Linked DNA regions of Nothobranchius furzeri. The protein of the gene in region 2 interacts with the protein of the main gene of each other region in a pairwise test. Links are inferred from orthologs where the notes say so. Each region holds a gene or a part of one and is shown on either strand. Other genes may lie near its edges.

Evidence for each region.
Region 1: the proteins of nupr1b (region 2) and ranbp1 interact in a two-hybrid assay, tested with the Homo sapiens proteins (2 studies listed by BioGRID and IntAct). The link is inferred for Nothobranchius furzeri from reciprocal best matches to the Homo sapiens genes NUPR1 and RANBP1.

What each region holds. Positions count from the first base shown.
Region 1 is NC_091757.1:31,791,477-31,795,648, reverse strand, and holds the start of ranbp1 (ran-specific GTPase-activating protein), read right to left. Parts: upstream 2,836-4,172; 5' UTR 2,705-2,835; coding exon 2,690-2,704; intron 1,534-2,689; coding exon 1,400-1,533; intron 1,171-1,399; coding exon 1,013-1,170; intron 682-1,012; coding exon 553-681; intron 470-552; coding exon 401-469; intron 324-400; exon of another isoform or gene 196-323; intron 82-195; coding exon 1-81. UniProt on the Homo sapiens protein: Plays a role in RAN-dependent nucleocytoplasmic transport. Alleviates the TNPO1-dependent inhibition of RAN GTPase activity and mediates the dissociation of RAN from proteins involved in transport into the nucleus.
Region 2 is NC_091745.1:29,321,925-29,325,230, forward strand, and holds nupr1b (nuclear protein 1b), read right to left. Parts: upstream 1,900-3,306; 5' UTR 1,702-1,899; coding exon 1,602-1,701; intron 1,516-1,601; coding exon 1,388-1,515; 3' UTR 1,380-1,387; intron 867-1,379; 3' UTR 583-866; downstream 1-582. UniProt on the Homo sapiens protein: Transcription regulator that converts stress signals into a program of gene expression that empowers cells with resistance to the stress induced by a change in their microenvironment.

The DNA of each region.
Region 1 (4,172 bases), on a different chromosome or scaffold from region 2:
CCTTTTCTGCAGACACCTTGTCTTTAACGGATAACCCCCCCAGCTTCTCAACCACCTGGTTCTCATTGTCGAGGTCTTCCCCTGTGTTGAAGCAATAAAACAAGCCATGGCATCAAAAGCTATGAATAATTTAACAAGCTAGCTTTTCTTCACAAAGCTTTATATTTACACCACTTGATAACTCTCTGTGTGTGTGTGTGTGTCCCAGAACATACTGACGCCAGCCCTGTAGTAAAGCTAGCACTGGTACATCCTGTGTGTTCATGTAGCAGACAGAAAAAGTCCCAAGCTGGAGTGAACAGCAAAGAACAGAGTGTGTCTGCAGCCTTTAAATGATTAAAAAGACTGGAGTTCATCTTTACCTCAATCCATTCACAACTGAGGTTTACGCTTTACTCACCTGATTTCTCTAGAACTTTTCTCACTTCCTCCTTGCATTCATCAAACTTCACCTTGAACTTCTGAGCGTCTGTGGACAGACATGATCATGTGTGAGCAAAAGTAAGCACGTATGAGCAGCTCTTAGTACAACACCTGGATTAAAGTACGTACTTTCTGCATTTAAAAAGCGTATTGCCAGGAGTTCCTGTTTGGGGGACTCATCAGCGTAATCTGCTAATGTGTTCCAGACCCATGCTCTGTCACTGCCAGCGTTTGGCTTCAACTCCATCACGGGAAAAACTGTCATTCACAAGAGGGTGCAAGGGTCATTAACACCGCTATAAAAAGAGACCACAAGTTACTTTATAAATCCAAATACTGCAGACATTTTGAGAAATTACGGAAGCTCTTTTGCAAAATCATTCTCAATTTTCCAGCTTCAGTTGCAGATCAGACAGGTGTACTGGTTAGTCACGATAGAGATGAGCATGACCTGTTTTCTCAAGTGTTTCTCCTGTTTACTCAGGATGCTAAAGAATCCAGAATACATAAGGGTTCACTTTTAATTTAAATGTACACACGCCAACAAGTCCAGCTAGGTCTTGAATTGTGGTTTGACTTAATGACTCACTATGATGATTGGCACAAATCTTCAGGGTTCGGTCTCTCCTCATCAAGAGACGAATTGTACCCTTCTCTTTGTGTTTCAGCAGCTTGACATCACCAGTTCCTCTCTCCTTCCATTCGGGTGGATCGTTCTCAGAGGCAAAGCGATAAAGTTTAGCTCGCCTAGGAAAACAGGAAAGTCCTTCATTAAACTAACTTTTATACTAACGATAAACATGAGCATTTAAAATAAAAGATTGCTTGTAGAATCTCCCCAATAACCAGCTTTTTTCCTTTTAAATTTTAATCAACAGCAAATATTTGGGCAGAAAATGGCTAATGTTCACGTCAAGAATCAAATTTGTAACCCCGTAAAGAAAATAAAACAAATGCGACAAATGAAGCATCTTACATTTTAAAGAGCTCCTCTTCGTCTTCTTCTAATGTTTTAACATCCTGCTCTGGGAGAGACACGATGGGCTCAAATTGTGGGTCGTGATTGGAGTCCTCTGTATTGTCTGCAGTGGGCTCGTGGTCTTCCTGATCCTAAGAGAAAAGAAGTGGGTTTAGAAAACGTAGCACAGCATTTATGTTTGTCGGTGCGGTTCTTGAATTTACAGGAGCAAAGTGAAGGCATCAACAAACAATAAATGTTTCAGTAAAGGAATACAAGAGCTTTGATAAACCGCAGCTTTTCATCATTATTATACACGTTTTCCTCCATTAAAGTGCTTAAAAATTCAGGAAGATGTACAGTCAGTTTTAAAGGATGGCTAAAGACAACAATTTATGTGACATGAAAAAGCCATGAAGCTACAAATTGAAAAAAATCCCATCTAAAACTTTCAGAGGGCCATTTTCCAGGTTTGATGGTTTACAAAAACGTGTTTATTCACTGATCTCAATTATCGTTTATATATCTTAAGTATGCAGCTATAATTCTAAAATGAAATTAACTCAGTCAGACTAGAGTTGTTTAATTAACCGATAACTACGTTGCCCGGCTAGTTAGAGGCCTGTAAGGCTGACGCTAGACCGCGGCTAATCATGGTTGGGCTGTTAACTCGGTCTAACGAAAACAACTAAAACACACGCTAATCTGGAAGTTCTGCATTAGTCTGGGGATAACTCAGACTTCATTACAACATTGTTGTTAATAAAACAACACGGGGTTGCTCTCCCCTTCGCCCTAGCATGAATGCTAGCATTAGCAACTGTTGTAGTAGGCAGACAAAGGCAAAAACCGCAGCTAACCGCGTTATCTGCTTCCAGCTGATGAGTAGATTAATACAACTTCGTAAAGACAACAATAAATTATTAATTGTTTGATGTTAATCGTCTAACGTTGCTACCGAGCATTGTAATGTGGCTAACATGCTGACTCGCTGGATACTTCAGTGTACTTCTCGGAGCTCGTAAACCTCAACACTACAGCGACATATTATGTCAAATTTCAAAGCAAATGTACAACACACTAGTTTCAGCGATGTTTTTATGTAACTGGCGTGAATGACAGTGGGCGAAAACACCCCAAAACGCTTTTCTAGCATCACGGAGAGCAACTTCATTGTCCGCATATCTGTCTCTTGGCTTCCTTTCCTAAATTTTGCGAATTTTCAGACACTAAATACAATTTCCGTCATGAAATTCTAATTTTAAAGGAAACTGGATGTGTAGATTAACAAAGAAAGTGTGTCCTCACCTTGGGGTCTGCCATATTAAAGTAGATGTTTAAAGATTATGGAAGTTGTTTGAGAGATTCAAATACCAAACAGACCGCCGTATGCCTCCAGCTCCTCTCACTTCCTGCTAGAGCTTTCGCGCGCCGAATCCTGTTCTTTTTCTTCTTCGTTGTTTTTATTGACGGTTAAAAAACAACGGCTTAGTGCAATACCGCCCTCAACTGGTATGGAGTCCCAGATAGCAAATTCTTTTTGGCCCTAGTTTGGCAAGCCAGTCTTGGTACTCTTTTGGATGGAATGATGGGCCAAATATGGCCCAAATTAGGCACACCAAAATATAATTATGGATTGTCAAAAGGTTGCCAGAATCATTTTTGGCACTAGTTTGGCAAGCCAGTCTTGGTACTCTTTTGGGTGGAATGATGGGCCAAATATGGCCCAAATAAGGCATGCCAAAATAGAATTATAGATTGTCAAAAGGTTGCCAGAATTCTTCCAAAATAAATTGTGGAATTCCAAAGCACAACCATAACTATACCAAAAGAACCCCAAAACACCACAAAATGGCCAAAGGATATCAAAGTGTAACCATAAGTTTGCCAAAAGATTACCCAAAATAAAATGTGGCTTTCCAAAGCATAGCCATAACTATCCCAAAATCCCACAATAAAGCCAAATATGAACTATAACTTATCCATAATTAGCCAAACGTTTACCAAAAGATTGTATTTTATTCTGAACCTTATGCTAAATTTAATTCAACATTTTAATAGACTATAAAATGTCCTTGTACAGAAGATTCAGATTTTGTGCCTTAGTTAAATAGCCTTGTGAAATAGCCTAGGTTACTGTGTGTACAAGGTGCATAAACATAAAACCAAACAAGAGTAAAATTTGAATATTTTATTTATTTGTTTTTTTAAAAGTCAGTCCTGGACTGAGTCCTGGGCTGGTTGAGGGGTTGGTTGGGCGGGCAATCTCCTTTTGCGTCCCTATCCCCAGCCCAGTAGAACCATTTTTTAATTGTATTTATAATTTCTGCCTCCGTAGATGCCACACAGACCGGATTCCTTCTCACTGCAGCTGAAAATAAAGGCATATACATGGAGAAAGACTTAAAAAAGGATGACGCAACAGTCCATGCAAAAGTGACCTGTGGTGGGCTAAGTAACTGGCTAGTTAAAAAGTCAGTTTTGCATTCGTTAATGGATTCATCTCGTCATCTGGGGTTGAAAGTGACAGCCAAAGTTACAACATCAAATCGTCATAGTCACTTAGTACTTACACTGCCACAGTTTACCAAACACAAACCAGCGGTTCTTTCCTGACACTAAAACCAAACAAGAATTTCACGAGCGAGAGTTGACCCTGAAGAACGCGTCACATTGCGGGCAAAGTGGCAATAGCTGTCTTGAAGCCAGCGATAGCGTGGTGTTATAATTTCGAGACTTGTGACATTCACAGGCGCACTGCATGCCATTTCGCAAACAAGTTGTTAAGACT
Region 2 (3,306 bases):
GAGGGGTCGCTTTACCGCTTGTAACAGGAACAGCGCCAATTTCTGCTGTGGTCAGTGTCTGGAACTGCAACCATGGTCGAAAACTGTCGAAACCCTTTTCGCCCCGTTCCCCCCCCCCCCCCTCCTTTTTAATTACGTGTAGCAGCACCTATGACGTACGTACACGTGCCATAACAATGAGCCGTATTGGTTAAAGAATGAAAAATGTCTGTTTAACTGAAGCAGTTGCATGTTTGAGATTTATCTCAAGTTTTTTGTCACTTGTAATATTTCAGTCAAGACATCTTTAGAGCATTTATTCTGTCAAATGCTTGAATAAATTCCCCCTGAGGTACATTTAAAATTTTTGGGACTTGTCAAGTGTATTTTTTATATGGACACCAAGTTCTTTATCAATAATCTAAACAATTTTAAGTCCACTGAACTAAAACACAAAAAGGACAAGAATGAGAAAATAACTTTTCTTTCATCGCACAATTTATGAAACAATGACAAAAGAATAAAAGATAGCCCTTGTTTTCATTTACATTTTTCCCCTTTCACTGAGATTCTAGGCTAAACAAAAACAACAACACTCTGACGTTAGTTGAAACATTTTAATTATAAAACGACCTTGTAAAAACAACCATCCTTCAGCTGCAAAGTCACAACCGAAGGTGCACCTCTGTGGCCTGAGCCATGACTCTGAACTCAGGTAAACTCCAACACCAGAGATCAGTGTACAACCCCTGCAGGCATCAGAGAAGAGGCCTGGATCTGCAGGCTCTTCGCCACGCCGAGGTTAATCCCAGCAGAGCTCCAACAAGCTCCATCAATCTGCACGTCGAGGCCGTGGTCAGTTTCCAGGTAAAGCTGTCCGAGTCGCCCTGTTAAAAACAAAAGACCAAAGCCTGGTTATTGTAAACACATCTGCAGAGCAGAACCAAGCACACAACACTGATCATTTTACACAATCATTCCAGATAGATTGATGGTCAAAATCAATCCTCCCAAATGGATTAAAACAATTAGGCAAACATGTTGTGTGCAACTTAAATCTATTTATCAACTTTCAATTTTAGGATTTTGGTTTGATGCAAATATTTGAGAACATTTCTTGAAATGGGGCGTTTTAAGCAGTAGTTGGGTTAAGTGAAGCCACCAAACAGTTCCAGCTTTCACCTGCTTTAGGTGGTAAACTCGGGTTTAAAGGGTTAATTCTGTTTGCGTCGTGGCAGCAGCTCTGCAGGAAGCGCTCCAAATCCCGGAGAAATCCAACAATTTAACGTTTATAAATGCTCGATGCTTTTGGATCCAACTAAACAAACAGCGTTCCTGTCGGCGGGGCCGTTAACCCAAACTGGACGGAGACTTTATTTCTGCAGGTGTGTTTGTTCCACCTTGGTCATCACTCCTTGGCTTTCTTCTCGCTGTTCTGGAGTTTCTCCGCGATCTTCCGCTCGTGTCCGGCGGGGTTGTGTCGGTTCGTGTTGTCGCTGGCCTCCTTCTTGGTTCGGCCTTTTCGGGCCGAGCCTTCTGCAACACACACACACACACACATTTACCCACCCTGAACCGGTCTGGAGTTCCGTTAGCTCCAGGCTAAGGAAAGAGCTGCTCACCTGCGTATTTGTCGGTCAGACTGTAATAATCATATTCGTCATAATGTTCTTCCTCGAACTTGTTGGAGGGTTTCAGGTTTTTCACGTCGACGTGACTCATGTTTGCTTCAGCTTCTCAACACAAAGACTCAGAAACGTTCACTCGGTACTTTTCTTCGGCTGGTCTCCTTGTTTTCGGTCTCCTCTCGGTGTTTTCTTCTCCTGCAGGTTTTTATAACTTACTGAGCTCCTCCTCCTCTCCTTTACTCCTCCTGCTGGTTTTCTATGGCGTTTAAAGCGTGCCACAACCCGTGCACGCGCATTGGGTCCACAGCGCGCGTGTGAACGGGACTCGCGAGCGGAAATATACATGGCGAGAGGTCATTTGTGCACTGAGAGGGAGCAAACTGTGTCTGTGAGCGCACAAGGTTGTGCACAAGTGACAAACCTGCGTGCGCGCGTTGTCAACGAGCACACGGCAGAGGAAAACGTGCGCGCGCGGCAGCCTCTGTGCGCGCTCGGCAGCCTCTCTGCGCGCTCGGTTTCTGACTCCTGCTCGCTCGGCTGTAAGGGTTTTGGCACTCTGGAGGCGTGGCCTGTGGCAGATCTTCTCTGTCCTCTGATTGGTTAGTGTACCCCGCACTTTACCCTCTACCTATCTATACAAAAAAGTCTGCTATTCAAGCAGTTGCTGGCATAGCTCAGTTGGGAGAGCGGGTGACTCTCGCCCCGGAGGATCCGGGTTCGAGGCCGGGCAAGGAAAATGCAGTAGATGTCATGTTAATTTTTCTTAATTTCAGGTATTTTACAGTTGTGACCGTTCAACTGTCATTAAACGTCCGAATGTTTGCTGGGCAGTGTTTTAAAAAGTGCACATAAGCTAGATGGTTTTAACCATAGAAAATTACATTTTTTGTGATACTGGAAAAATACATACTGAAATAAAACTACTGATTGAAAACTTTATGACTGTGGTTGTACAATATATGACTCACTAATACACTGCAAACTCCCTTAGAGTGGGGCTTCCAGAGAGAGAGAGAGAGAGAGAGAGACAGAGAGAGAAAAGTTCTTGCCTCATTAATGAATTGTTTATTTTTTTCAGTATTTAATTGACAAATTATCCTTTCAAATAATTAATTGATGAGTTACATAATTGTCCATTTAGAATTGTTGAATGGACTGAGTCAAGTTTGGTGCACTTTATATATTTCAAAACATGTTTTTTTTAATGATGCATATAAATAATTTAAATGTTAATTTAATGAAATATTTCTATTTTTTCATTACCTCACCCTTGTTTTGACAAAAACGGGACCTTGCTGGATAATATCATGGAGAAACTATTTGTTCACAGTACATGGCTCCGTAAGGATCTGTGTACCAAAGGAGGAGATACTCAGAAATCTGTCTGCAGATTGTTACAACCCAGACTGGAAGTGGCGGGCTGTAATAAGAAAGGAGACCAAACAGAGCAGTGGGGGTTCAACAACTGATTTATTTAACAAAAGTAAGGATTTACTAAAGCAAGTTAGTGAACAGAAAATGGCCATCTCAAGGTTTTACTCGGATGTCCCTCAGCAGGGTGCAGCACTGTTGAAGGTCATCTGAATGAAAGCTTGATATGCAGTTTCTTTATGAAAGTGTGTAAATATACAGTATGGTTGCCGTACATATGTTGAGGTTCTCAGACATCAGGCTTCTTTGCCCAGGCCTTCACTAGTGG